Arabidopsis thaliana: one gene and its partners. The protein of the gene in region 1 interacts with the protein of each later gene in a pairwise test. Each region holds a gene or a part of one and is shown in the gene's direction. Other genes may lie near its edges.

Region 1 (7,108 bases):
GAGATGTGCTTGGAAAGTACTAAAGCAGGTTATCTTAATCAATTGGATTTAGACCCAGAGCCTTAGAGATGATTCCCGTATACAATGGCCATAATGATGTCGCATGTCTTTGTTATCCCTGACTTTGTGCCACAATAATCATCTCCTTATCTTTTAGAAGAAAGGTCACGGTCCAAATCCCTCTCTTTGTTTTGCTATCACTAGAAGGATGGCCCAACAGGTGTTTTAAAGTAAGACTCTGGAAACTAACATGATTCAATTATCATCTGACATAGCTTCTCAGGAAAAACCTTCACTATACTTAGACCCCTGCCCGTTTCTCTCCCATGTTTCTCTGTGATTTTGTAAATTTAAAATTGCTATGACTTAGCATAGAATAATTTATAACTCTGGTTTGAGCTCTGATTTCAATACCTTACAATATCAGAATCTAGGCAACAGTGGTGGTCTAAGAAGTATATAAGCTTCTTTAACATAACTTTGTTGGGCCACCATCTTCTCTGGTCTTTTCTCTAGGAATCTCAGCTTCTATTTTTAGAACTTGTGGTTAGGCTAATGATGGGTGTGCAAGTACATGTATCTAGTTATTAGCCTATATCGTGTAACAACACTCAATGACACATTTTGTCTGCCTTCATTTTGATTTCTATATATAATTACAGAACTAGGACTCACTGGTGGGAAATCGAAGTCGTTGTATGGAAGAGAGGGTCATTTGGGAATTACCCTGTTCAAGTTTGCTGGAGACGATTCAGGGCTCAGGGATGCTATGAGAATGGCAGAATATTTTGAGAAGATAAACCGTGGGCGTAAGAGTTGGGGGAGGGTACAGCCACTCACTCCAAGCAAAGATGATGAGAAAAACCCTGGTCTTGTCGAGGTTGATGGGAGGACGGGAGAGAAAAAGAGGATCTTTTATGGTTATCTCGCGACTGTAACGGACTTGGACAAAGTCGATGTGGAGACAAAGAAGAAAACCACAATCGAGAGCCTTAGAGAACTCACAAGAACAAAGTAAATTACAGTTTTCTTCTCCCACGAAAGGTACACTTAACTTTCGAGGTATTTGTTGCCTATTGAATCTGGATTCTTAGTCGCAACCTAAAAAACTCGAAAGGAGGAACGAAAGTTTTTTTTTTTTTTTTTTTAATTTATAGATGAAGTCTTGGTCTCTTTGATCCTTCGATTCAGTGTTCATATTGCATAGTCTAATATCGGTTGAACCTGATATATACAAGTTCTCTTTACCAACATCCTTAGAAGTATATTGTGATAGTTGCTTGATGCTTTTGATGTCCCTGTTGATTCTCCTACGTTCGTTTCTTCTTTCCTTGTTCTATCTCATCCTTTCGAATAGTGGTTCCTGCTTGTTCTTTAGGCTTTAGCCAGCCTATGGAAATGAGAATATTGAACCAACCAAACAATGTTGCCATAGTGCCATTGTATTGATGATGTCTATGACATTGAGTTATTGTTTTTGTTTGCACTCTGGTAGTAGCTTTATGTATTTGGTCACCTTAGATTGGTGACAACAATGGTGGTGTTTAGTTTAAGCTAGCTATCTTCTTTGAATAAAAAAAAATAAAAAAAAAATTATAAATTGGTATGAAAACAAAAATAAACATTAGATAAGAGGACTTGTATTTTGTGGGGGCTTTTGGTAACCACTATATAAATTTTGTTTTGTCTTTGTTTATAACTCTTTAATTGACAAGTTAGGTATAAAGTGTTTTGACGATTTTTTCCCCTCTACTTTCTTGTGTTCTGATAAACTTTATTACATGTCTTCATTCAAATCTTTGGTTCGCTCTGGCTTACCAATTTACACGTTTTGTTAAAGGAAGTTTGATCAGCTTCGGTTTAGGCCGTGTGATTAAGAATTTAAGATAAACCTTAACACTTATGAAAGTAATCAAGCACTATCCGGTAGTGAAAGTTAATATAACATATAGGATTATAGTTTGGCCAATATCATAACAACTAGGATATAATTTTATGAATGTACAATATGCAGGACAAAGTACTTTGTATCTTTTGATAGAGTTACATGCACTATAAGAGAATTAAACATATTAGAAAAAAGACTAGATTATGTAAAATGTCATAATCATATTACTATAAGACTAGCTAGACTGAGGTCAAATCAATGCATAAATTTAAATCATTATCTCTTTTGAATTCGATTATCTCCCTCACATTTTTCAAATTTCTCTACTCACTTTTTCTATAAAGCGGAAACAGTAATCGGCGGTTCATATGTAGTCGGCCATTACGGACCCATTTAATTAGATAAATTATTCTTAGCCGTCAGTTTCATATTTCGTCTCATTCTAATTTTGTAATGTTTCTCTAACCTTTTTGTAACTATAAAATCATACTCTAATAGCAAGAGGTCTAAAAGAGTAATGGATATTTCCCCTCAATAATGTGTTATATGTCACTGTCCCGTTTTAACATTTTGTACATATCAACAGAAAAAAGTTTTTATGATATATCCATTCCACTGATGTCAAAAAAGCAATAGCTTTAATAAAACCAAATTCAAAATTTCGTTTTTATTCTATTCTTCTGTTTTGATATCACAAAGATATTAAAAACATAGTACGAAGATTAGTTTTATATGTGTACTAATGAATCTTCTTTGTGGTTGCTTCATTATCACGTTTTAACATTTGTCACGCGTGCCCTGATTTCATTACAGCCTTTTCTACAAAACACATGCATTGTTCTTCTTCTTACATTACTACATTACACTACACAAAGAATTTCATATTAATTATAACAACATTTTTTTTTTTTTGCTATACTATATAGTTTTTTGTTATTCAATTGGTATTTTACCGGCAATGCTTCACTGGTTTCCGACTCAACGCATGTGGTGGTCAGTGGGCTTGGCCCACTTATCTCTTTCACCTTTTTTTTTCTTTATACGAAAAATTAAAGCAAAGCTATAGTAATAGTACTTATTATTATTACCACGTCATCACCCAACTCTCTTATACTACGCATATCACGCTAAGCTACGCGTCGACGGCGCAATATAGAAGAATATGTAATAATCGCGCCTTTAATCAGACTCCACTGAGACGTGTCGCTATTTCGAGTTGTCCACGTCACTGTTTCTTTTGTCTCTTATCTTCTTCTTCGTCTCTTTACTTTTTTCCCATTTCTAGGGTTTCTTCAATTTCACTCTCTCTCTTGAGTTTATTCTTCTCTGCTGTATCAATCAAATCAACGGAGTTTGAGTTTCTTTTCCGATTCCGGCGATGGGGTCAGTCCCCGATCCAGGCGAGTTAACTGAGTTAGCTCAGCCGAGTTTCGAGGAGTTTCAGAAACAGACGTCGTTGATGACTAGCTGTACTCTTCTATGGCAAGAGCTCTCCGATCACTTCACTTCTCTAGAGCAGAATCTGATGAAGAAATCTGAAGCGTTGAAGCAGATGATTGAAACTCTAGATAACCAGACTCAGACCTCGCTCGAGTCTCTGAAGCGTAGAGAGGTAACAATCGACCATAGCGTTGAGATCGTAGCTGGGAAAGTAGGTGAACGAGCTAGAGCTGCTCTTGAATCGTTAGAGAAAGCTAGAGATGGTTGTGGTGATGGTTCTAATGATGATTCCGGTGATGTTGACGATGAAGAAGGTCTTCTTTCTGCTTTGAAATCTCTTTGTCTTAAAATGGATGCGAGAGGTTTTTGGAACTTTGTGACGGCGAGGAAGAAGGAGTTGGAGAATCTCCGGTCAAAGATTCCGGCGGCGTTGGTTGATTGTGTAGATCCGGCGATGTTAGTGCTTGAAGCGATATCTGAGGTTTTTCCGGTGGATACAAGAGGAGATAAAGTTAGCAATGATTATGGATGGGCTTGTGTTGTGATTCTTGAGAGTTTAACACCTGTAATTGTTGATCCAGTGATTGGGAAATCGAGGTTGCTTGTTACTCCGAGTGTTAAGGAGAAAGCTAAGGAGATTGCTGAGACGTGGAAGAAGAGTTTGGAAGAGAGAGGAAGGATAGAGAATGTGAAGACTCCTGATGTTCATACGTTTTTGCAGCATCTTGTTACATTTGGAATTGTTAAAAGTGAAGATCTTGCTTTGTATAGAAAGCTTGTTGTTGGATCTGCGTGGCGTAAACAGATGCCTAAGCTTGCGGTTTCTGTTGGTTTGGGTGATCAAATGCCTGGTAATCCTCTTAAGCTCTTATCTTCTACCTATTAGTTTTTTATCCTGGCATGCTCATTGTAACTTGTGAGATCATATATGGTTTTGAAATTGGCTAGTTTACTAATAGTTTAACCCATCTAGATGTATAGTTTTGGTAGGTTACAAATAGTTTACGAGTTGATTAGTCGAATATTAAGTTTGTGTGGCAAACATTGTATGGCATAGATTGTGGTGAAGTCTGAGACATTAGTGGTACAAGGTGTTATTGACCACAGACTGTGTGAAGTTGAAGCCTTTTTCTCTGTATCTCGTTTTATAATATCTGAACTTACAAGTTGTTGCGCTGTCCACAGACATGATTGAAGAATTAATCAGCAGGGGACAACAGCTTGATGCTGTTCATTTTACTTATGAAGTTGGGCTTGTGGATAAGTTCCCTCCTGTTCCTTTGCTCAAAGCTTATCTAAGGGACGCAAAGAAGTCAGCAGCTTCTATCATGGAGGACTCTAGCAATACTGGCCGAGCTACGGTATCTACTCATTGCATCTACTCATTTCTATCGCAGCTAAATATTTTTATCTGTGCGTCCCTGAAAGTTAATATCTTCCTTGTTATGTTTTCTTCCTAAGCATCTCGTGGCGCGCAAGGAGCAATCAGCACTTAAGGCGGTTTTAAAATGCATAGAAGAGTACAAACTCGAGGAAGAGTTCCCTCCAGAGAACCTCAAGAAACGGTTGGATCAGCTAGAGAAGACCAAAACCGAGAAGAGAAAGCCAGCAGCTGTTCCTGCCAACAAAAGAACCCGAGCCAGCTACAACGGTCCAATGCCACCAGCCAAAGCCGGGCGTATCACAAACGCATACGTCTCTTCCTTCCCGTTCATCAGATCACCCTCTCACTCTCCTCAATACGCTTCACCAGCAGCTTACCCATCCCCACCTACAACAGTCTACAGCAACAGAAGCCCACCTTATCCATACTCTCCGGAGATCATCCCAGGCTCATACCAAGGCTCTCCTATCGGTTACCCAGCGTACAACGGTTATTGTAATGGTCCAGTTCCTGCTCCAGCTCCTCCAGTTTACCACCCACACCATCATCAACACCACCAATTCCACCATCAGCAACATTACTACTGAATTAGAAGACAGTGTGACAACAAAACAAGGAAGAAGATTGGTAATAACCAACAAATCACTGATACTGTGACAACTGCTACTACTCTGGTGTTCTCTCTCTCTGGGTCTATTGTCTTCCTACGTCGTCGTTTTTGTCTGTAATATCTCTTTCTCAGCCTAACTCTCTTAGTAACTTAGCTTATATCCTCTGGTGTGTTTATTATTAATCGCATATAAAACAAAACTCAAGCTTTTGTAATGTCTAATATTCAGTCAACAAACTTATATTTCTGTACTCTGTTAATCGAATGACAAACTTCTCTTCGTCACCAACTATCTCCGATCAAATCTAACATCGGAGGTCGTTGCTTTGAAGACATACCCACCAGTTCTCTGTTGAATTGCATTTCTTCTTCATTGAGCAAAGTGGTGATTCAATTTCGGTACAAGACACAAAGCCAGTGGTGAGAAATTTCTCTTTACCAACCTTGCACACCAGATGTTCGACGATATGTCTCTTTGAAATCTTACCGTTTAGTTTTCACGTGCGTTTTCAGAATTGGTCTCTTTTCCTTCAATGGCTTTGATGGTTTTGAGAAGAAAGTGTCTCCGTTTGCCAGATTTTATCTCCGTTTTTCGACCTGCACCGCGTTGCTTCTCCTCGAGATTTTCCAACAGTGAAAGTGGTAAAGTTACAGTGACTGGTTTGAGTGGTTGTGGTATAGAAACTGTGGATGATGATGTTTGGCATGTTTCATCATCTTTATCCCAAGCTTGGAGACAGTTCCAAGCAGACACTGCAAAAAACTCTCCCGTTACAATACAAGGAGTAAGAGAAACAATACTCGATGATGAAGATCCCGATCACGATGAAATCGATAACATGAGAATTCGCGGTGATCTTTTCTTCAAGCTCGATCGAGGTTCAAAAGAATTCGAGGAATACAACTATGACTTCCACCGCAAGAATCAACACAAGAACGCTAAAAAGGAGCAAAACCAAGAAGAAGAAACAAAGATAAAGAAGGATAACAAGAAGGAAGTTCGTGACGAATACAAGAAGAGAAATGACTCTTTCACAGGTGAGACGGATCATCCTAATGAAGCTGTGAAGAAGAGAGAAAGAACATTTACGTTTAACCAACTCACGGCGCCATTTCACTACCCGTTTTGCTTAGACATATACATCTCGAAAGAGTCTGTACGAGCATGTGTGATTCACAGGGTGACTAGTAAGGTTGTAACTGTGGCTCATTCGATTTCAAAAGACATGAAATTCGATCTTGGTTCGAGAAGAAACGTTGCAGCTTGCGCTGCGGTTGGGGCAGTTCTTGCTCAAAGAAGTTTGGAAGATGACATACATGATGTTATATACACTCCTAGGAAAGGAGATAAAATTGAAGGTAAGCTTCAGGTCGTGCTTCAAGCTCTTATTGACAATGGTGTTAATGTTAAAGTGAAGCTTAAGCAGAGGAAACTTAAGAAGAAGACTAGTCATCTAATGATGGCCTAGAGGACTGAAATTTTCTAGTTTGTAATATGGGCCCAGAAGATATGTTTCTGTGTGGGGCCCAAAAAATGTTATCCGTTTCATTTCTACGTTTCTTGTCGGGTCAAAGTGTTGACTTTCTAACAATGATATCATCGTTTTCTTATACGTAACTTCTCTGCTCTTCCATAGCCGATCGACCTTTGTTCACAATTCCCACCGATTTTTATTTGCTAGATCGATATATTTTCAGGTATGATGATATATATATCATGGTTTGTTTATTCATCTGGAAAGTTTTTGATGCATCATGATCAGGACAAAGTTGGCGTGAAATGAAA
Region 2 (7,877 bases), on another chromosome or scaffold:
AACATTATCACTATGTTATCATTTGGATTCAAACCTAAATAAAATACGTGAACCTAACTAAGTATTCATCAATCTATTTATCTAACAATATAATGGACTGTAAATTTGTTCTACAGATCAATAATTACATGGTCATATCCTTAATCATAGCGTTTTGTGGCCATCTCTTCTATTTCTCTATATATTATTAAGCTATATATGAAGGTATAGTATATATATTTATAAATAACTCTTACGACTTTGACTTGACATTTGATTCTACATAGACAACTCTAATAGTATGAATTGAAACCAGTATTTTATTGCTCCTATCAACCTGGAGACCTTGGTTTCCCAAATATACCTATGTTACTATAAAAATAATATGTGTATAATAATATTTTTTACCTACGTAATGATGCTCACAAGTCACAAGTTTTTACAGGAACTAGTAAAAATCAATTTATTATCAGTGGTCTCCAGACTCTCCACTATATTTTTTTTTATAAACAAACTCAAAAGTAGTGTGATCAATCAGAAATTACGGGTCAACTTTTTCGATAATGCCCAATCCCATTCTCACATCTTTGGCGACTTGTGATCTACCACCACCCCATCCACCAATTTTTAAATTATTTTATAATAATAAAAAGCCGGAGAATAAAACAAAACCAAGTGTCTTTTCAAAACTAAATGCCTATTTATTGTTTTTTTCTAGTCAATTTGTGGAGAAAACCTATCAAACTAAAAGGTGTTAGAAAATATTGTTGGATTAAATATTATAATTTGTATATAGTAAACATTAAAAGGTGATTTTATTGACGTATAATAATCTAAAAACCAAAAATAAAGGTGATATATTGAATAGAATTTAACTATTTAGTAGGAAGGAAGCAACATGGGCAAATTGCCAATTTGGTTTATAAAGGAGCCCACATGTTTACCTTACTATTTTGGACTTTCTGAGTTAGTGTCGAAGGCCTTTGGGCCCATAAATGGACCCCACAAAAAGACAGGACAAAATATCCTTAGAACTCGCCACGTAGATATCTCGACGTGGAGATCTGACCACGTGTACAGTTTATGTCCTGATTTTCGCAAGAGTGACGTGGACGGGTCATGATCCGCTTATATTTTCACTTTGTCTACAAGCCAAGTATATTAAATTGGGCCTCAAATTAGCCCAATCAATATATCAGTACATTATTAATCAAAGGCCCAAGTCTCACGCTAGCGATCGTCGACAACGATTTTGAGTCTTTCTCCGAAGTCGCCGGAATCGTATTCGCCGATCCAATTGTCGCATAGAAACTGTCATCTCCGGCGAGAGACTGATCTCTGGTAAGTCAATTCGATTTCGCGCGTTTTATAACTTCTGGTATTTTCGTATTCCGTTGCTGAGAGAAAATATTGCAGAGATTGCTTAACATGAAGCTGATACTTTAACCGATTCATCAAATTGACAAAAATCGTTTTCTTCTTTAGGGATTGATACAGAACTCGTAGGATGATCGATTTACGCTATAAAGAATGCTACTTGCTCATCTGTCTTATCGTCTTCATAAATTTTGTGACTTGTTATAGCGATGAGAGACTGTAAGTGTTGTTGAAAAACCTCACATTATCCCCAAACTCATCAATTTGGATTCTTTTATTGGTACTGTAGAAATGATGTTATCAGGTTTCTCTTAGGTTTGGTGGAAAAACTTTATATGCTGGGAAGGAACTTTGGAAAGAGACACTGCCATTGAAATCTGGATCTCGAGTTTACAAATTACAAGGGCTTAAGTCGAACTCTTGGTATGAAGTCAAGATATCATACCCAGCTTCTGTATGTCAAATTTGTTATCTTGTTCTATGTTCTTATGTTTCCAAGGTTCTTGTGCTTGTTAAAAATCTCATCCTTTTTTGTTATGATAACAGATACCGGCTCTATTTTCGCTGCAATTACTGAAGAACGGTGTAATGGGTTTGAAGGTTAACCATATGAGGAGATTACTAAACACTGAGAAGTTGATCTTCAAAACAGAAAGTATTGAAGAAGTTGATAACAAGGTATTGCCATCTTCTTCAGTTAGTTCCTAAAACTTAGAAAGAAGAACGAATACAAGTTTAGGAGTTTGTTTCTGATTTAGGAGGGATTGTATGTTTTGGTGACGGTGGAACCTGAAGGAATCGTGGCTATACCAAATGTTAAAGAAAGACCGTCCATCATTTACAACATAGGCAAGCTTTTTTTTCTACTTACTATCTCATCAATCTTCTTCTTTTCACAACATAAGAACTTGTATTAAGTGTAGTGCTTCTTCTAGAGTCTGAAAACTCTCATGTTGACAGTTTGTGAAGAACAGCTCTTAGGCATCCCTCACTCAAGCTGGTCAGTGGTGGTTTTAGTAGTTTTGTGTCTCGTTGTCGCGTTGATTCTTCCCCGGTTCCTCCCATCTTATCTTCTGATCAAAGATGTAGATCGTGATCGTTAAGAAGAAGCATGGTTAATACAGTTTCCTCACCTCTTTGTTTTGTTACTCTGTTCGCATTTTGATGTTTGTTCATCTAATTTTGTATGGTTTTTAGTTCTTACATGTCCACTGCCTCATTCATATACCTTACCTTACCACACCGCACTCAAAGAAGAGTATATAAGTCTACATGTGTTAGATTGATTTCATGTTTTTCAGACGCGGGAAGTCCTATTCTGAACTTGTATGGTTTGATCGTATATAGTTAAGTAACGCTTATCCGTTTGAATTTCAATCCAACAAACAACATTCCACAAGATGAATAACTCTAAAGTACACCGTATTATCTTTTGGGAATAGGGAGTAATTAATTAAAAGCAAAGAGGTTACACATATTTTTAATAAATAAATGAATTTTTTTTTGTTCATATAATGTATGAAATAACCGTTAATTTCCCGGCAGTAATCCGCTAAAATAACTCCAACCAACTGTGATAATAAAAGAACCAAACTAGGATTCGGACAAAACCACAATTTGTGTTCTAATTAATTACAGCGTTAATCATAATTACTAGATGATTTCGAGTGGGACCCAGGGTGAAGAACAACTCCTTTTGTTTTCTCTCTCTCTCGAAGAATTTATGAATCATAATCACGCATCATCGTCTTCGTCATCACCAACTTCTTCACCATCATCATGAATGTTAAAACTTCCATAAACAAATCCTTCCTTGTCCCCTTGTATTTTTCTATCTAAATCCCTAAAACCACTCAAAATCATCCCTCTTTCTCTCCTCCCCATTTTCCCCAACGCTTGATTCGAATTCGTCTCTCTCGTTTTCTGTTGTTCTACCAATTGAGCAACCCTAGAATCATTCTTGTGTACCTACCGGAACCGAGTCTTCTCTTCTTCCGTGGCACATCTTTCAAAGTTTTAAACCCCTTTTCCCCTAACTTCTTTTCATTTTTCTGTTTTTTTCCCGGGAAATTTTCTCTCTCTCTCTCTATTTTTTGTTTCTCTCGTCATGATCATTACTTGTCAAGTATGATCCTTTATTAGGTTTCTTTGGGGCCGATCTCACTTTTTCTGTTTCTCACCCTCTTCTCTTCGAAGGCCCTTGTAAACCCTAGAATCTCCTCTTTTCAAATTTATATGTTCTGTTTCTTCATCTTCAGGTTTAATCATTCAATCTATCTCTAGGGTTTACCGGGTCAAGTCTTAGGATCTGTCTCTATCCATACTTCATCAAAGTTTCCGTCTTTGGTTCTAATCCATGGCGTATCATTCGATTCCGAGCTCTGGGTTTCATTACTTGAATTCTCCTTTTGGTGACACAACCTTTACTAAAGTCTTTGTTGGTGGCCTTGCCTGGGAGACTCAAAGCGAGACTCTTCGTCGGCATTTCGATCAATATGGTGATATCCTTGAGGCTGTCGTTATTACTGATAAGAACACTGGTCGATCCAAAGGTTATGGCTTTGTGAGTATCCTACTTTTTGTTCATGCTTTGGTTTCTAATATCTGAAGTTGGTTTATTATACTGCTTGTAATAAACATTCTCTGCTTCCATGGTATGCTTATAGATTATTGGGTACTAAATGTTGCTTTAGATTGGTGAATGATCTGCTTGACTTATGATTTCTAGTTCTTTGAATAAACTCAAAGAAGTTGAATTCGAAAATACGTGTTTTGATGAAACTTTTGTCTATCTTTGCTAATTAGAGGAGTCTCTTTCATTTGTTTGTTCTGATGTATCTGTTGGTTTATGTTCATGATTGTAGAATGACTTACCGCTATGTTTATGATTTGTATGGAGGATTTAGGTGACTTTCCGAGATCCAGAGGCTGCTAGGAGAGCCTGTGTCGATCCAACACCTATTATAGATGGCAGACGAGCGAATTGTAATCTCGCTTCTCTTGGGAGATCTAGGCCTCCAATGCAATATGCAGTGATACCCCATGCTCCTGGTCAGTCTTACTTCAGTATTCATCTATTCTTTTCTTCGCATTACATACAGAGACCTTTATAATTTTGGTGAAGTATTCAATTTTTCAAGGATTATGACCGTGTTAACCTTGAATCACTGCATTGCTTCTTTTATTTGGTTAGGACGGGTAAGACCTCCTTCCCCATATGTTGGAAGTGTGCAGAGTCCTCGCGGTTTGCATTTTGGAAGCCATCCGTATCACCAACCCCCTACTTATAACTACCAACAAGGAGTGGTGTACCCTTATGGGTGAGTTATGCAATTTGAAGCTCAGAACATTTCGTTGCTATTGTAAATCTGCTATAACAGACAAGCTTTGATGAGTGTATCAGTTCTAATGTTCTACATGCTAGTCCTTCAGTCACTTTGATCAAGTGGCATTTACCAATCACATCATGGACAATCATCTAGAGATTCTATTGCGTTAGGGGTTGTATCTTCTGCCACTTAGGGTTCTTGAGTGTAGCACTATCATGTGACATGTTGTGATTGGTAACTTGCAGGAATACAAAAATATAATTGCAGAGGATATGTGGCCGAGCTCAATTTGTTTTGGACAGGCAAGGTCATGAATGTTTTTGGACTTTGATAGGGCAAAATTACCTAGATTTTTGGAATGGACATTTTGGAGTGGACTTAGGTTTTTCCCCCCTAGCTTAGCATCTTTCTTTCGTAGCATAACATATTCTAGCTGTTTTGTATAAGTGTTACTCTTCTTTTCTTAAAGAGTGTTTAGCCAAAACTTTACTCACCTGTCTCTAATATTAGCTGTGCTTTTTGGGGTTCTCTCAGGGTTACACCATATGGACCTGACTACATGTACTCACAGTCTCAGGTAGGCGCTTGAAATTATTGCAGTTCCTTCTTACCTTCTTTATGCATTTTAAACTGTTGTGGCTTTAGTTATAAACTCATGTCTTCTCTTCATGGTGTTGTAGGGTTTCTATGGTCCTTACATGGGTCAACAGTACCTTCAGGTTTATGGAGTACCTGGGGCAGTTAACTCACCGGGTTATCAATATGGGCAACTGAGCCATACTATTCCTGGTGCTCACGGTTATACAGCGGGTCAAGGTTATTCACATCCAGGAAGTCATGTTCTACAGCTTGGTGCCACTTCACCTATGTCTGCTATTCAATCTCCATACCCTTCTCCTTCAGCTCCAACGCACCAACGTGTCATCGTCCAGACTCCTCCTCAGTATATACAGAGTAGCGGTTCTGATCAGACAACAGGGTGATCAACGTAAGCAAATTCTTGGATTCTTTTTTGATGGTCCAAATTGGATTGAAGTTCGTACACACTTACACGACCTCATTGTTATTTATCGGTTTTCAGTTAGTAATCCTTAAAGATTGCAGAAAAGGGAAGAAGTCCAGGACAAATGCTACTCTGGCAGGCTTCCTGTTTAAGCTTAGCACATTATTTATTTTCGCATTCTAGAGGTAAGCTTGTTTCCTTAGGTGCCCTTTTAAGTTTCAGTACTTGCAAATGTTTTCGATCTCACCTCATTACCGTCGTTACAGGTATTAAGTAGTCTTGCTCACTGAAGAAGTCAAAAAAGGGGGAAAGGAGAATGGAAGTTTCAGGGTTTGTGCTTCTGTTATCTTTAACCCTCTCATCCTATGTATATAGCCCACAACAAGCTTGATGGCATAAACTATATGAATAGTTTCACCCCGGAAACAAGGGTTTTCGCGGTAAACTGGTAGGAATAAGTTTGGTGTACAAAGAAAGTTCATATATATATAAACACATACATAAATGCATATAGAATGGTGGAATCAACATCTGATTCTTTTGGGTGGTAAAAGTAGTCTTCTTACTACACACTCTCTTAAGGCATATGAGTGTTGGTAATATTACTAGGTAGATTCTCACGTCCTCTTGAGTCAAGTCCTCTGCATTGTAAGTAAAAAATTAATGACTATGGAGCTCACTTCAGCTTCTTTGTCTGTGCATAAATTTTAGCTCCAGGATTCTTCTCTTTTCTATGTCTGTACAGTTTCTAGACTGATAAATTGTTCTTCTCAATTGTTTCTGTCTATGACTCCTATCTTCTACTCTGATTCCTCTGTTTATACTCCATTTATCACTTCGTTTACCACTTGCTTTCAAGATGATAGATTCGAGTTTTTAGTTAAATTCATCGTCATTTAAACCATTTTTAAAGAGTCCAATTTTTGGGGGTGGATGTAATTACGTTTCCTTCTTTGATCCATCAAAGTAAAAATTGATCAACACATAATTAAAAGGATTACATAATGAGGTAGTGGCATAGTAATGATGTTTTGATGTCCGAGAAAACTGATTTAGAGATAGTTTAGTCAGCACAAACAAGATTAATGTTCCCATTTTCCTACAACTTCCTCTCGTTTAAAAGAATAAGCTTTATCAATGAGAATAAGACATACAAAACATTTGGGCCTTATACTTTTTAAAAGGCCCAAAAGTGCTTCAACAAGACGGCACGTGGTGAGCCAGGTGACAAGTGATACCTCCAAATGCGGTTATTTGCGGGACCCACGTGGTAGCCACGTGTAGCAAGCAAAGGACCCCCATCCTCTTTTGCATTTTTCTCCTTACACCAAACATTTCTTTCTCGCAGAGAAATCTCTCTTCTCTTCACCTCCATCATCCTCCTCAACCCAAAAACATCACGACGAAATTAAAAAAGGTAAAATCTGCCACTGAGAATTTTCTGTCATGCTTAAGCTTCGAATTTCTTCTCGTTTTTTCTCCATGAATGTTGCTTGAATTTTCACAATCGCTGGACTTGTAAGGTTGAAATTGCATAATCCCTATTTATCTTCTGTGGTGGGAACAATGTGGGATCGATTTTTGCTGTAAAAAGTACAAACTGGTTCGTATTCAAGCGTAGTAACCTTTAGATTTAAGGAAAATTGTTGACTTTGAGCTAACTAGTGAAAAATTGTTGGATTGCGATATTTTCTGGGTAAAAATTGGTTTTTTTTTTTTTTTTGTATTGTGAAGAGTATATATGAAGCAGAGTTACTAATCTTTCTCAAAATATCAACATAGTCTTTTCAAATGTAGATTTTGCTGTTAATAAGTGAAGTTTTTAGGGTTTAATTTGAAGATGTTTTCTCCTTAGTAATGATAAGGCAAAACATTATGGAGACTAAAGTCATTGTTAGAAAAGGGTTAAACTTAAGAGATCTAGGGACTAAAATGATGGAGATTTTCAATGCTATGACTAAATTGGCAAATTTGAGACACTTAATTATGTCCTGTAACTATGTTTTTGGAATGTCCTTATTGCTTCCATTTGTGACAATGTTGCCACTTTCATATGTAATGCAGGTTCATTGATATCGAAGATATGAGTCTGTATAGCGACGGATTATCGAGTGATCAGTATTTCTTGGTTAATTTCATCATGAGCAACTACTTGGGTCCTGATGTCTATTCTGATAACCCAAGATGTT
Region 3 (7,986 bases), on another chromosome or scaffold:
AGCAGTCCGGTTCGAGCAAACATGAACGGAAGATGGCTGATTTCCTTTTGAAGCATTTGGGAGATGGAAATGAGAGCCCCAAGCTATTTCCTTCTTCTCTTCTGGATAACACAAAAGATTACCAAGTGAAAAAAAGATTAGGGAATGGAAGTCAGTACAAGGAGATTACCTGGTTAGGCGAGAGCTTTGCGCTTAGGCATTTCTTTGGGGATATTGATGCTTTGCTTCCTCAGATTACTCCATTGCTATCTCTTTCACACCCAAACATTGTATATTACCTCTGCGGATTCACGGATGAGGAGAAGAAAGAGTGTTTCTTGGTCATGGAACTGATGAGGAAAACCCTTGGAATGCACATCAAAGAGGTATGTGGTCCTAGGAAGAAGAACACTCTCTCCCTCCCGGTCGCGGTTGATCTGATGCTTCAGATAGCTTTGGGTATGGAATATCTTCACTCGAAGAGAATATACCACGGAGAGTTGAATCCATCAAACATTCTTGTCAAACCAAGAAGTAACCAATCCGGAGATGGGTATCTGCTTGGGAAGATTTTTGGGTTCGGGTTGAATTCTGTCAAGGGATTCTCTAGTAAAAGTGCTTCTTTGACGAGTCAGAATGAGAATTTTCCATTCATATGGTATTCTCCAGAAGTTCTAGAGGAGCAAGAACAGAGTGGAACTGCAGGAAGCCTTAAGTATAGTGATAAATCTGACGTGTATAGCTTTGGGATGGTTAGCTTTGAGCTTCTGACAGGTAAAGTACCATTTGAAGATAGCCACCTGCAAGGAGATAAGATGAGTAGAAACATTAGGGCCGGGGAGAGACCGCTTTTTCCATTTAATTCACCAAAGTTCATAACAAACCTGACAAAACGATGCTGGCATGCTGATCCCAATCAGCGTCCAACTTTCTCATCGATAAGCAGAATTCTCCGGTATATCAAACGGTTTCTAGCTTTGAACCCGGAATGTTACAGTAGTAGCCAACAAGACCCGTCCATTGCGCCTACTGTGGATTACTGCGAGATCGAGACAAAGCTATTGCAGAAGCTTTCTTGGGAATCTACAGAGCTAACCAAAGTTTCACAGGTTCCTTTTCAAATGTTTGCATATAGGGTTGTGGAACGGGCAAAAACGTGTGAAAAGGATAATCTCCGGGAACCATCGGAATCAGGAAGTGAATGGGCTTCGTGTAGCGAGGATGAGGGTGGGGCAGGATCAGATGAGCAGTTGTCATATGCCAAGGAAAGAAGATTGTCATGCTCCTCAAATGATGTTGGTATGAGCAAGAAGCAGGTTTCAAATCTTCTGAAAAGAGCTTCTAGCCTGAAACCAATTCAAAAACCAGGTGAGATTATCATCAGCCAATATATATATATATATATAGGCTCCCTAACAAATATGAACTTGGTTACTTGTACTAATTTTTTTGTTTTGTGTCACTAGCCTTTGGATTCTGTTCAGGGACAACTCCGAGAGGACGATCAAGGCATCCGCCACTAAGCCCTTGTGGTGGGCAAAGCATGAGAGCAAACTCTGAGAGTCAGCTGATATTGATAAGCCCAAGGATACGACGATCAAACTCTGGACATGCCTCTGACTCTGAGCTTTCCTAGTCTGCAGGGAAAAAGAATAGGTTCATAATAGCAAGTTCAAAATGCTGTACAAGTCAAAAGACATACTAACTCGTATGTGGTGACACACACTCCACTACATATCTATCGAAAACGATAAAATTCTTCTTTATTCAAAGTTTCCTACAGATACTACTAGGCTCGTATATTGTTCAGGCTAGTGACTGATTGATTCAGTAGCTACTAGCTACAATATTATCTTAAAGGAAACAAATCATATGAGGCAAAATTATGTGCCTAGACTGTAGAGGCTCAACGCTGAAGTGAAGTAAACTAGGCCTGCTCCACTATTTCTACAATCTATCAAACACCATCAAATTACACTAATCAAATTTTGGGCTTCGAATGTGGATAAAAACATCAAAAATAAGGAACCTTGACTAATCTGCCTGAAAATTACCTTAACAAAAAAGGGGAACAGCGATTCCGCCGGGGACTAGAGACATGGCGTGGTTCGGAGCTTTGGCTCTGTCTCTCGTCAATTTCAATATCTCCGCCACCGCCGACTCCGTCACATCCATCCTCCGACGCTTTTATTATGTCATTGATTGTGATATGACCAAAAAGTCCCCACTCTAGTTTTAGATGAATGAAGCTATGATTTCTTTTTTTTTTTTGGTGATAAGTACGTTATTATGATTTTAATACCAACAGATTTGTCAAATATAACATTATAAGCAAGTGGAGTAAACAAACTAAGCAGCTGATTTGTACAAAAAATACTTTACAGCTATAACATTTGTCATTGTCACCCTAATATAAAATACAATTCCAACAACTAAAATACATCTCTAAACTTTTTAAAGATGATGATGATGAAAAGAATTCAAGTTATGAGCACGTCTGGGAACATGGCACACCATCTATTTTGACAAGATAATATTATACAATACATGTATAAAATACGTACACATTCATCGTTATAAACTAAACCCACCATGGCCATGATGAATAGTGTGTGTAGTTCAAGGTATTGTTGGTTTTGGAGCAGCGAGACACAAATATATCAAAGACCTAATTTGGTACTTTAACTTTCACCTTTCAAATGCAGTTAAATTCGAATCGATCCAACCAATTCATTAGTTACTACTATTTTTATTTTGTTGCATTATTTTTGGTCGTCACGTTATCTCTTGGTCAACTTGACCTGGTAAGACTCATAGTTTCTAGATATGTCAAAATTCTTAAACTCCATTGTCGATCTAATTGTTCCTAGTTGGTAGATTCCCGGGAAAACGAAGCAAGAAAAGTAGAGCTATTGTTCGAAGTCTTTTGATTATTTAAATAAATTCCTCTGAAATTTTCACAAAACTCCTTTAATATTAAAAAATGGCTGCGTCAAAGAGACTAAAAGCTTGATTCTCACCGGAGACGAAGAAATTGCCCAAAAAATATTCATAATACTGACGCCGGAATCACTCTTCTTCGAGGTGCGTTTGATTTTCCTATATCTCTCTGTCTTGTCTTTCCCGTTTTGGATGCTGTGCAATCATGGAAACTCTTGAACTAGTCTCTAGGAAAATTTTAAGATTTGCTCTACCATGTTACTATTCGCGGATTGGAGAAGATTCGATTAGAGAATTTGTTGATAATTTCGGATTTTGTTTGAATTCAAGGATTATTATTTCTGTTGCAGTTTAAACAAGCAAAACCCTAGAAGCTGGTCTTCGTCGGAGAATTTTTGTTTTTTTTTTCCGATGAGGACAAGCGGTGACGTTTATGGAGCAGATACTGGTTCCTCAAGAAGTGATGAAGACAGAGGCTTTAAGGAGGATCTCAATGAATCCGCTACTAGCCCGATGAGAAATCGCCTAGACGATTCGAATTCACGACCTGGTTCTCAGAGATTCGTCAAGAGCTCGAGAAAGGAGGAAGAGACTGATTCAGATTCTTCTTCTTCTAAGAACACAACCACCAGAAACAACCCAATTCAGTACACTGATAAACAACAAGCCGAGCTTTTGAGAAAGCTTGATTCTATTAAAGATCATCTTCTCCGTGGTGGAGGTAATAATGCTACTGTTGTTGATCAGCCACCAATGGGTTTCCATGCCCATCATGGACCTCCTCCTTCTTATTACAATCCATACCCTGAGCCATTTCCTTATGGAATGTATCCTACCGCGAGTAACCAACCTCATGTTCCAGCTTATAGAGACCCTTATGGATTCCCAGTGCATAGGATACCTCAAAACTTTTATCAAGGACCAAGTCATTACCCTAATCAGATGCCGCCTCGTCCACCCTATCCTCAAGGACAGTATGTAGACATTGGCTCTGATATACTTGAGTCACAGTTACAGGACCCTAGATTCTTTCCGGGTACGCCAAGTAGGTATGGTGATGTCCCATTTAGCCCGGCTTTGCACCACGGTGAGAAAGTTGGACCCTTTAGTCCACATGGTGGTGTTCACACGAGGTGGCCTAGTGAAATTGATTCTGAAATGGGTGGTGCTTTTGCTCGTGGGTATGTTCAACAAGCTGTGTCTGATACTGATTCACGTCGTTGCCATCCTCTAGCAGGCGGTGCGCCTTTTATTGCTTGTCACAGTTGCTTTGAGCTGCTATATGTGCCTAAGAAGAAGCTTCTTGGTCAGGAAAGGCAACAAAAGATGCAATGTGGTGCTTGTTCTGAGGTTATCACGTTCAGAGTTGTTGATAAGAAGCTTGTTTTCTCATCTTCTGCCCTGGGGGAAACTACGAACCGGGTTTCTGTAGAGGTTGAAGATAGAAGCTCACCAATCCCTGTGGTAGATGATTATCCACTCAATGATGAAGAACCAAGAATACACCAGGAAACGAAAATTGTCCATGCTGTATCGCCTAGTGATCACTCAAACGATGAAGACAGGTCAAGCATTTCTAGTGAGCCGCGGAAACAGGTCGTCAAGTCTGTTCGCAGCAGAGCCCAAGGCGCGAAGGTTCCTCCTCCTCCTCCTCCGGAAAAGTCCAATCTTCTTGAGCTCTTTGAGTATTCTAATGTAAACCGAGCTGCAATCACTTACGGAATGGCGCAGTTAGGGTACTATAAGCAAGAATCATACACGAAACAAGACTCCCTGAAATCAGAATCAGTAGCTACTGAGACAGATGTTTCTTATAATGAGTACTATACTAACACCGAGGAGTCTGAAGATTCAAGGATCTCAAAAGCCAGCAAAGAAGGGAGACGACCAAGAAACCGAAAGCAGAGTAGTGAGCACAGTTTCGCAGAGGTCACAAATAATATCAGTTCTAACGACCAAAACAACGAGCAGCTAGAGGTTTGGGTGAATGGGTATCTGATACCAGAAGATCTGGTTATTAGCGCTGAGAAACAAGCTGGGCCAGTTCAAGCTGGCAAATACTGGTATGTTTGGGGTTACGTTTTGATAAATCTACGTCAAAAGAATTGATCAGTCGTTCAAGAAACCATCTTTATGTTATGATTCTGACCAGGTATGATTACCGTGCTGGATTCTGGGGAGTGATGGGAAACCCTTGTCTCGGTATAATACCAGTAAGAACTTTCACATCTCTTCTATATTGCTTTGAATTCCAGTACACTGTTTCATAATTCTTTGTATTGATTGGTACTTGATGAGGAAATGGGAAACAATTGTTGGTTGATGCAGCCATTTATAGAGGAGTTTAGTCGACCAATGCCGGATAACTGCGGTGCAGGAAACACGAGTGTGTTTGTAAACGGAAGAGAGCTTCACGAGAGAGACCTAGAGTTACTATCAAGTAGAGGTCTTCCTCGAGGCAAGAACCGTTCTTACATCATTGATATAGCAGGAAGAGTTCTTGATGGAGACTCTGGTGAAGAACTTAAGAGTCTTGGCAGATTAGCTCCAACGTAAGCACAACACAATTCCATGTAATCAAATTTTTACATCAATCATTTAGTTGATTCTGAAATTTTATGGTTGAAAATTGAATCAGGGTTGACAAGGTGAAGCATGGATTTGGCATGAGGGTTCCAAGATCATTAGTCTCGTGAAGCTTCGTCAGCTTTGTTTTGACCTCTCTGATTTGTAAATTATTCTTTGTGATTGATATATAACACATCTTTGCTTATATTCTGACCCAAAACTTATTTGCTATTCTGTTTTTGGGTTTAGTTTCTTTTTTGGGGGTTCTCTTACAATGTTCCATTCTTTCTCTTACTTTTTTTTTTTTTGTCTAAGAGATAAACCGTATGGTTTTATATCTTGTGATCTGGTTTATGTAAATTGATCATTTTTTATTGTGGATAACCTGTTGCCTGTTGGGAAATAAAATAATATTTGTTTGATTTTGTGACAAAAGATAAATGTATATATTTATAGATCTGTCCAGGCTGTGTGTACTTGTTAAATCGTTTTCAAGAAAGAAAACACACTGGTATGGTAGATCCAAAATCAACTTCAAGTAAGATGGGTCCACGTAGCAAATATTTAAAGCCCATGGAATAATTTATTCACAATGGGCCTCGTGGTCGTGGTGTACCCTACTCCATATAAAAAAACAGAGTCGATAATCTAGTCTGTCTAAAACGACTAATTCATGTCTAAAGATTAGTTTATGTTTTAAATCACCGAGAACTAATTCTACCGTCTAGATAGAACGATTTTTTTTTTTTCTCTAGATAGAACGTTTAAAACAAAATTAGCATGAAAATTACCACGGTTATCAGAAGACAAAATATATTTTTTCGTCTAATTAGATGTGTAAAGCATAAACTAGATACTAATTTATATACTCACAAGTAGTTTTAGTTACAAGTTTCAACCATTAAATCTAAGTGCGAGGTCTCTGTCTTTAGTTGAAAAAAGAGAGAGAGAACAAGTCTCTATCTTTGCTCCTGATAAGTGATAATTAATCAATAAATACTGTAGGACCATCCTTATCGAGTTTCGTTTGATAGACACTACAAATACAAACTAATCACCTAATTTCCATAAATGTAGAGATTACTGTAATCCTGTCTACGTTGGAAATAATTAATGGTACCATGTCACCCGTAATAGCAATGGCTTAATCATGTTTAAAGAGACAACAAGTACACGATTCGCGCTTTACAGTTGTATAATTGTAACTTTAAAAACAATTATGGATGCCTAATCATTAGATTATTTTCTTCTTCTGAATATCTCTCCACAAATTAAATGAAGCCACGACCGACATAAACAAAGTGGAAACAATTACAGTAATTCAAACACATGCAAACAAAAAAACTCGAGTTAATTATTACTAACATGTTTTAGTACTTCTGAGAAAAAAAGAAAAAAACAGGATCCGCTGTGTCTTTTTTATAATGATGAAGTTCCTCGCTTTCAACGCCAACCAAAAACCTCCAGAAAGCTAATTAGGGAAACATTTGAAAAAACTCAGTGATCTGCTCTTCTCTCTAATTGCAATGGATTCATTGAGATTAATATCTAAGAGCATCAAGATTGAAGGAACCCCATTTGGTTCCTCTCACCAACGCAATCAAATTTTCCTCAAATCCGTCGCTTTCTTCCTTTTGATCGGTCTCGCTTACCGTTTTCTCATCACTAATTCCACCGTCTCTCCGGTTCCCACCGTTCGATCCTCGCCGGAATCTCTCCCGCCGGATCCTTCAGGTCTCACTGCCATCACTCAAACTTCAGCCTCTGTCGATTCCCCAGCAAACATCACAACCATTGCTTCACAGAATGGTAAGAGATCATCTTTTTCCGATCATCACTACTTTAGTCTCAAATTCAATAGAGTAAGACCCAAGCAACGTGAGGAAATTGGGTTTTGAGAAGAAATTCTTATTTTGGATTTGTGCTCACCAAGTGTTTGAACAATTGTAGTTTCAACCAAGTGTGATATCTTTATCGGGAATTGGGTACCAGACCCATCAGGGCCAATCTACACCAATGTCTCTTGCCGTCATATCCAAGATTACCAAAATTGCTTGAAAAACGGAAGGCCAGATGTGAATTACCTTCGATGGAGATGGCAACCTCGCGATTGCGATCTCCCGAGGTTTAACCCTGAGCAATTCCTTGACAATATGAGGAACAAATGGTTGGCTTTTATCGGTGATTCCATCTCTCGTAACCATGTCCAATCCCTCCTCTGCATTCTCTCTCAGGTACAACAACAGTTTCTCTAATTTCATTTCTCTGTATAGCAGCAGCCTTAAATCTACTTGCCCTTGTTTTAGGTAGAAGAAGTAGAAGATATCTTCCATGACAAGGAATACAAATCAAGGATCTGGAGATTCCCTTCTTACAACTTCACACTCTCTGTCATTTGGTCTCCTTTCCTTGTAAAAGCTGAAACCTTTGAGAACGGAGTTCCTTTCTCAGACATTCGAGTACACCTCGACAAGCTAGACCAGAAATGGACTGATCAGT
Region 4 (7,422 bases), on another chromosome or scaffold:
ATTCTGAGTTTCAATAGGAGAGTAGTCACATCCTATAACAAATGAGATCACATGTAGTTTGATGCAAAGTTGACTCCTACCTTGGAGTAATCCATGCCACCATAAATATCACCAACGAGCATGTCAATGGCACTATTATCTCCCTTTTGGCTGAGTTCTAGCAATTCATCAAAACTGAAACAAAAGAAAACAGTGTAAGGTATAGGAAACAAAAATATAAAGAAATAATGTAAAATCAGAGCTCTGTAACCTCTTGCACTTCGTTAGAAGTCTTCCTAAGCCCCAATAGGTACCACCGCCAACATTAGTTCCACTCACACGTTCAAACTTTCCTTCACCATCAACCTATACTTTGAAAAGCCATTGCATGAAATCTACAGGTCCATGCAATCTTCTGACCTCCCAATTCAGAAGTTCAAGGAGCCAAACACACACTGATTGTGAAAAAAGTAGCAAACGTAAACAAATACCTTGATTATGCTAACACCAGATCCAACGTTCACAAGAAGATAAGGATACAAGTCATTGGGATCTATCTGTACAAATTCTTTCTCACCCTCCATGTGCGTAAAGGCTTCATGTCGAATAGCCTGCAGAAAATGCAAGAAACTAAGAATAAATTCAAAACATACACATGCAAATAGACAAAAGAAAAGTAGACTAATTGCAAAATTTCAATAGTCTTAGCAGAACTTTAAGTATAGTAAAACACACATACAGATATCCAGCTGTTTTTCTCTCATGTGACTCAGAACTTCAACAAACAAATCAACCGGTCACATATAATGAGAGTCTGTCTTTACGTTTCTATTTCGCAAGTGCTAGTAATAAAAGGTACAAATATGTATGCAGAGACAACATAAATGGAATGTTGCATAAAGAAAGGTCTTACCTTGAGCAAAAAATTTGCTCCAGAAACAAGACAATGCATTTCATCTTCTTTCTCAATACTAACGCCCAGCCGTTCCTTGAACAAGTCTGCAAATTTAAATGCCCCGCCACCTGTGACCTGAAAGATACACGTACGCTTGACTCATATGTTTAAAACAAGTAATAATCAACTAATCAAAGCCGAATCAGCAAATCACATTACATGGATATACAAGACTTATAAATATAAAAAACGTTTCACCTAAAAACAATAATTATGAGGGTCTTAAATGTTATCTGGTATCTCAAATGAAAGAGCGAGCTAAATATATGCAGAAGGAGCCTCAAAAGGTGATAAAGATAAAAACAATCAAGTCATAAAAATGCGATTACCTTGATAACACCAGTCCCCAAAGGCAAGGTCTTTGAACTCCAAGGATAAGGATCTATTCATTTAGTTGAAAAGAAATGGAGAAGAAGACGAATTGAAGAGTAAATCACCAGAAATTGATCTTATAATACAAAACAACATTTCATACACTGAAAAGGATAAAAGTAATAATACCTCGGCGATGAAGCTGCTTGGAATGAATAAAATCCAAGCACTCATTAATTTTGTGAGTCTCAAACTTGACAAAATGAAGTCTACCACCAAGAACAGGATAACTTCTCAAGTTGCCATTGGTAATACCCAATCTCTCCTTGATCGTCCTCTTCCGCTTATCATCATCATTAGAGTAGTCCTCATGTCGTGAAAAATACAACAACTTTATCAAAGAACCTGCAAATAAACTTAAAAGGGTTCATAATTCTCAAACATAGCACTTAAGAAATAAACATCGAAATTGCCAAAACCAAGAAGTGACACCAAATACTACTGGAAGAACCACAAGCACTAGATCAATGGTCAACTACAGTGAAAATAAAAAAGAAGTGAAATTTGTTGTCACCTCCGATATCAAGAGCCAAATGAGAGATATCATCAGACTGATTAGGCAATAAAATGGTGGGATCTCTCTCCTCGAGGTTCCCCTGAATTTCGGCTTTGCTTAGATCAAGCTGAGGTCTAGAGCCTGATCTGTGGATCGGAGTACCAGAAGTAGAAGGAGCCATATTTTTATCAGCAGCAACAGAAACCTGAGATTTTGCTTCAGCTTCTCTTTTATTGTCAAGAATTGGATCATACTCATCCTCTTGACCCGCCATTTTTTTTTTTTATTAAAAAATAAAAAAGGAACCCAACCAAACCCAGAAAAATCGGATCACCAACAATTGCCTAATTCTCCCAAACCACCACAAAACCCTTCCTTGCAAAGTTTAAAAAGTCAAACGACACGAACTGATGATGATAAGACTTTCCAGGGTAAAGAAGTAAACTGTTCGAGCTTTTGCTAATACGATTATACGACTAAGCTTAGAATCGCTTAAGCAGGCTGAAGCGGACCTAACTCCAAACAAAATTTGTATTTATATATAATTGTTTGTTAACTAATTAACTACCACATAAATTTCCCAAAAAAAAAAAAAAACTACCACACAAATTTGTAGTTTTTAATGAATTTGTAAGTGGATTAGGTTTGGTGTTTCACAATAATGACCAAACTCGAACTCCACTTGCCACTTATGAGTTTTTCCAAGTCATAGATGAGGATTACTGTGTTGGTTTCGATATCTTAATTAATCCGTCACACTTAATTCTTTATGTTTTACGATTTTTTGAAGTTTAAGATTTTGCTAACATTACACTATTCACGATAAATCACTTTTTCAGATTTAAGATATTTTTCGCCGGAATTTAGAAGGTAGGATATCCTTTAAAATGCTTTTGTGAAGATGGATTATATTATACAATTGGACTATTTGGTGTAGATAAAATCTTATGTGGGAAACAAATATTTTAGGAACACTAAACCAAAAATACCATTGTTACATTTTTTAATGATAAAAAAGTTCACTTGCAAATGTAACAAGATACAACCTCGTTGGGTTGATATGTTAAGAAAACTAGCTGATGGATTGGTTTTTCATTGGGTCTATTGGGCCAATGTCATGGGCCTGATGACTTTTATTCAGTTTCTTAAATTTATATTCCAGTTTAATATAACATACTCTTTAGTGTGTAAGCATTTCTAACCACGCGACTAGCCGACTACGCGAAAGAAAGAGAATTGTCATACTAGAAAACCGTTACCACGTACGTAATTAAGAAGAGTCCATTATTTTTACAAATAGATCCCTTGGCCGTGTATTTGGACAATGCCGACATGCATCTTATGAATAAGGGCAAAAAGGACTTTCGAGTTTACTGGCGACCACAACTCGCAAGCCAACGCGAGCCTCTATTTATTATTTTGTATCCTTTTTTTTGGTAAAAGAATTTTGTAACAATATCCATTCCCTAGCTAGATTCTTCTTCTTCTTCCTTGGATTTGTTCTCGTAAGCATTCTTCTCCAAAACGCCCACTTGTTAAATTTGATCCAGTGGATTTGGGTTTTGTTCCGTCTTTAAGCTCCATGGCGATTGCATAATTATGCTCTCAGGATGGGTTTCTCTCAGGCCATTCGCTTGAATCTTGCTTCCTTCTCCTCTCCCTCTCCCTGCGATGTTTGTTTCCTTACCTTTCTCTATATTATCCCCTATATTTTCATTTATATATCGCTGCTGATTCACAACACTTTACTTACTCTTAACTTTATCAAACTTGAATTTTTGACTTTTGCTGGCCTTGTTCTGATTGTTCCTTGTTCTGGCTTAAAAAGATTGCAAATTTCAATACTGTTCCTTTAATTTGAATAAGTTTGCTTGCATCCATATTGATTAGTGTCTGTCCAAAATAATCAAACTTTTGATTTTGATTTTGATGTCGGCCATATGATTTTTTCTTATGCAGTATTGTTTGACAAGAGTAGTAAACCATAAGCAGAAGAGTCTTGTCGCATTCCCGAGCATTACAAGGAGAAAGAGACATCTTTTACTGAGTGTTCAATCAGTCTTGCACAATACAAGACCCAACATCAACGACAATGGCTCAGCTGAGTCTGCAAATGTTCTTTTCGATAAATTATTTGCTCGGACACACAGATTGGAGAGACAAACCAATCAACACTCGGTTTATCCTGACGATGATGATCTCCCCTATTCAAACCTTGGCGTGCTTGAGTCTGACCTTGAGGCTGCGCTAGTGGCCTTGTTGAAAAGGGAAGAGGACCTGCACGATGCTGAGAGGAAGCTTCTCTCTGACAAAAATAAACTTAACCGGGCAAAGGAGGAGTTAGAAAAACGTGAGAAAACAATCTCTGAAGCTTCGTTGAAGCATGAGAGTCTACAAGAGGAGCTGAAGCGGGCAAATGTGGAGTTAGCTTCTCAAGCCAGGGAGATAGAAGAGTTAAAGCATAAGCTAAGGGAAAGAGACGAGGAACGTGCTGCTTTGCAATCGTCCTTGACTTTGAAAGAGGAAGAGCTAGAGAAGATGCGTCAAGAGATTGCAAACAGAAGCAAGGAGGTTTCTATGGCTATTTCTGAATTTGAAAGCAAGTCACAACTCTTAAGCAAAGCCAACGAAGTTGTCAAGAGACAAGAAGGTGAAATATATGCACTTCAGAGAGCTCTTGAGGAGAAGGAAGAAGAATTAGAGATTTCTAAGGCTACGAAGAAACTTGAACAAGAAAAGCTTAGAGAAACAGAAGCCAACTTGAAGAAACAGACAGAAGAGTGGCTGATAGCCCAGGATGAAGTGAATAAGCTTAAAGAGGAAACCGTGAAACGTTTAGGAGAAGCCAATGAAACCATGGAGGACTTCATGAAAGTGAAAAAGCTTCTGACTGATGTAAGATTCGAGCTTATTTCTTCTCGGGAAGCTTTGGTATTTTCCAGGGAGCAAATGGAAGAAAAAGAGCTACTATTGGAAAAACAATTGGAGGAACTCGAGGAACAGAGGAAAAGTGTGTTGTCATATATGCAAAGCTTGAGGGATGCGCACACTGAAGTTGAAAGTGAGAGAGTAAAGCTCAGAGTTGTTGAGGCTAAAAATTTTGCGCTTGAGCGGGAAATATCGGTCCAAAAAGAATTGCTGGAGGATTTACGAGAGGAGTTGCAGAAAGAGAAACCATTGTTGGAGCTAGCTATGCATGATATATCCGTTATTCAAGATGAGCTTTACAAAAAAGCTAATGCGTTTCAGGTATCACAAAATCTACTTCAGGAGAAAGAGTCAAGTTTGGTGGAGGCCAAACTAGAGATTCAGCATCTGAAGTCCGAACAGGCTTCTCTAGAACTATTACTGCAAGAAAAGGATGAAGAACTCGCTGAAGCTCGAAATAAATTGGGAGAAGTGAACCAGGAGGTAACAGAGCTAAAGGCACTTATGATCAGTAGAGAAGATCAGCTTATGGAGGCAACTGAGATGCTGAAGGAGAAAGATGTCCACCTTCACAGAATAGAAGGTGAGTTGGGCAGTTCCAAGCTGAAAGTCACTGAAGCTGAAATGGTGGTGGAAAGAATTGCAGAATTGACGAACAGACTGCTTATGTCAACCACCAACGGTCAAAATCAGAATGCAATGAGGATTAACAATGAGATAAGCATTGACTCAATGCAGCAACCACTAGAGAAACCTCATGATGATTACGGAATGGAGAACAAACGGCTGGTGATGGAGTTAAGCTTCACCAGAGAAAATCTACGGATGAAAGAAATGGAAGTTCTAGCGGTGCAGAGGGCTTTGACATTTAAAGACGAAGAGATCAACGTGGTCATGGGAAGATTAGAAGCCAAGGAGCAGGAACTCAAGAAATTGAAAGAAGAAACGATCAATGACAGTGAAGATTTGAAAGTGCTATATGCCTTGGCACAAGAGAGAGTCGGGGAAAAAACAATGGGTGATCTGGCCATAGAGATGCTTCAGCTTGAGGCAGCTAACCTTGAAGTTGAAGCTGCGACCAGTGCATTACAGAAGCTTGCAAAAATGAGCACGGAACTGTTAACTCAAGCTGACATGAGCATTGAGGCCGACACAACTCACACTGTAATGCCAGAGAGAGGGTATTCAGAAGGAAGTAATGAGTGTCTTGGTGAGGTAAAAACAGAAGTTGTCAGGCTCTGGTCCTTGACAGAGAAACTCCTGGAGAACGCAGGAATCGTTGCTGGTACATCTACATGCATGGAAGGTGTAATTTTATAAAGCTTTGATTAACTTTATAAGCCTAATCTGTATGATTCTTTTGTGGATATGTAGAATTACTGGCGGTTAAATATGTTTACTTGTCACTGTGAGCAAGTCTATTGGAGAGTCTTAATCAAGAACTCTTTGCATTTTATAATAATAAATATTAAATAATTTAAAGTTTAGAGTTTTTATTGAATCTTTACAATTTTTTATTGTCCAATGGTGGTGGAGACTTTAAGAGGATTTCTTCAAAAAAAATAAAGATTTTAAAATAAAATATTATAAAGTTTTTTATTTGACAAAACTTAATAATTATTAGAAATAATAAAATTGTAAACATGCATCATGACATAAAAGCAAAAAAATATATAGAAATGAAAATTTGAAAAAGGATAATATTTAAGCTTGATTCGGACCAAAATTTTGCCATATATATACTCTGATACTCAATCAAATCATATTTCAATCGTTCATGCTAAGTACAAAAGTCGGGTTTTGATACTTAATAATTACTACAAATATTAAAATTGTATACATACATCATGATATAAAAGCAAAAAGAAAATATACAAATCAAAAAACTTAAATAACGACTAGATTTAAGCATTATTAAAACAATGCATAATCCTTTTTTTATATAGTTTTTTCTCAGCCAGTCACAAAGCAACACAACTAAAGTCTTTAACAAATGTTAAAACTCTAAGCTTAGGATCAATCCTTAGCCTAATATCTTGTTTTCATTTATTTTTATTACATTGGAGGTGGTCTAAGTGATCTCAAAACTAAGTGATTTTTAATGATTTGTATTTGTTTATTACGTAGATAAAATTCAGCCGAGAGTGGCTGCCACCACAAGGTTCTTGCCAAGGGTAATCTCTCGTTTAGGTGTCGTTGATAGAAAAAGGTTTGCGACGTACCCTGGGACTTATGCCTACAACAGCATGTATACACAGATAGTAGGCCGTTAGAGTGTAACTGATAGGATCACCCCTACTAGCATCGCCAAATACCAACCTTGCCCCTAAATTTCCTTCTCTATTTTTTTGAGTAACTTTTTTATAAATTTTCAAACTCGCTCCCGCTTCTGAGTCTTTTTCCGTACGAAAGAGAGAGAGATACGTCTATGCGATTCTAGGGTTTTTCCGGCGAAATTTCTCAGCCAAAGATGGTGGTGGTAAGCAAGAACAACGAGCAGCAATCGCTCATTTTGGTAAGTCACCTCTTCTAGCTCCAATTTCTCGTTCCTTGCTGGTGATTTTCGCAGCTGGATTTAGTTTGCGTGTGTAGCGTCCTGCGTCTAGAGATGGATTTTCGTCTTTCGATTCTCAATCACGCCGATACATATATTTTTGGCTCTGACTTGTTTGTTTTGTTCTTCGTTGTGTTG

Evidence for each region.
Region 2: the proteins of AT3G22440 (region 1) and AT1G20880 interact in a two-hybrid assay, tested with the Arabidopsis thaliana proteins (one large-scale study listed by BioGRID).
Region 3: the proteins of AT3G22440 (region 1) and AT1G01440 interact in a two-hybrid assay, tested with the Arabidopsis thaliana proteins (one large-scale study listed by BioGRID).
Region 4: the proteins of AT3G22440 (region 1) and AT4G32190 interact in a two-hybrid assay, tested with the Arabidopsis thaliana proteins (one large-scale study listed by BioGRID).

Annotation. Positions count from the first base shown.
Region 1 is NC_003074.8:7,956,588-7,963,695, forward strand, and holds AT3G22440 (FRIGIDA-like protein), read left to right. Parts: upstream 1-3,165; 5' UTR 3,166-3,266; coding exon 3,267-4,179; intron 4,180-4,513; coding exon 4,514-4,689; intron 4,690-4,789; coding exon 4,790-5,299; 3' UTR 5,300-5,784; downstream 5,785-7,108. Other genes in the region: AT3G22430 (RNA recognition motif XS domain protein), read left to right, coding at 663-1,018; AT3G22436 (uncharacterized protein), read right to left, coding at 1,311-1,433; AT3G22450 (Ribosomal L18p/L5e family protein), read left to right, coding at 5,856-6,791.
Region 2 is NC_003070.9:7,260,670-7,268,546, reverse strand, and holds AT1G20880 (RNA-binding (RRM/RBD/RNP motifs) family protein), read left to right. Parts: upstream 1-2,991; 5' UTR 2,992-3,712; coding exon 3,713-3,919; intron 3,920-4,262; coding exon 4,263-4,407; intron 4,408-4,549; coding exon 4,550-4,676; intron 4,677-5,219; coding exon 5,220-5,262; intron 5,263-5,365; coding exon 5,366-5,668; 3' UTR 5,669-5,673; exon of another isoform or gene 5,674-5,728; intron 5,729-5,766; 3' UTR 5,767-5,873; intron 5,874-5,954; 3' UTR 5,955-6,538; downstream 6,539-7,877. Other genes in the region: AT1G20890 (caveolin-1 protein), read left to right, coding at 1,487-1,575, 1,672-1,810, 1,903-2,034, 2,115-2,205, 2,317-2,459; AT1G20875 (uncharacterized protein), read right to left, coding at 6,866-7,066; AT1G20870 (HSP20-like chaperones superfamily protein), read left to right, coding at 7,772-7,877.
Region 3 is NC_003070.9:157,564-165,549, reverse strand, and holds AT1G01440 (hypothetical protein (DUF3133)), read left to right. Parts: upstream 1-2,596; 5' UTR 2,597-3,063; intron 3,064-3,269; 5' UTR 3,270-3,330; coding exon 3,331-4,982; intron 4,983-5,071; coding exon 5,072-5,132; intron 5,133-5,247; coding exon 5,248-5,471; intron 5,472-5,557; coding exon 5,558-5,615; 3' UTR 5,616-5,922; downstream 5,923-7,986. Other genes in the region: AT1G01450 (Protein kinase superfamily protein), read left to right, coding at 33-1,445; TBL25 (TRICHOME BIREFRINGENCE-LIKE 25), read left to right, coding at 7,014-7,296, 7,438-7,721, 7,794-7,986.
Region 4 is NC_003075.7:15,541,640-15,549,061, forward strand, and holds AT4G32190 (Myosin heavy chain-related protein), read left to right. Parts: upstream 1-3,160; 5' UTR 3,161-3,412; coding exon 3,413-3,475; intron 3,476-3,761; coding exon 3,762-6,050; 3' UTR 6,051-6,218; downstream 6,219-7,422. Other genes in the region: PANK2 (pantothenate kinase 2), read right to left, coding at 81-174, 251-345, 471-590, 893-1,009, 1,264-1,316, 1,436-1,651, 1,821-2,076; ASY2 (DNA-binding HORMA family protein), read left to right, coding at 7,201-7,245. UniProt on the Arabidopsis thaliana protein: Required for the initiation of starch granules biosynthesis in leaf chloroplasts. Involved in determining starch granule number and size in chloroplasts.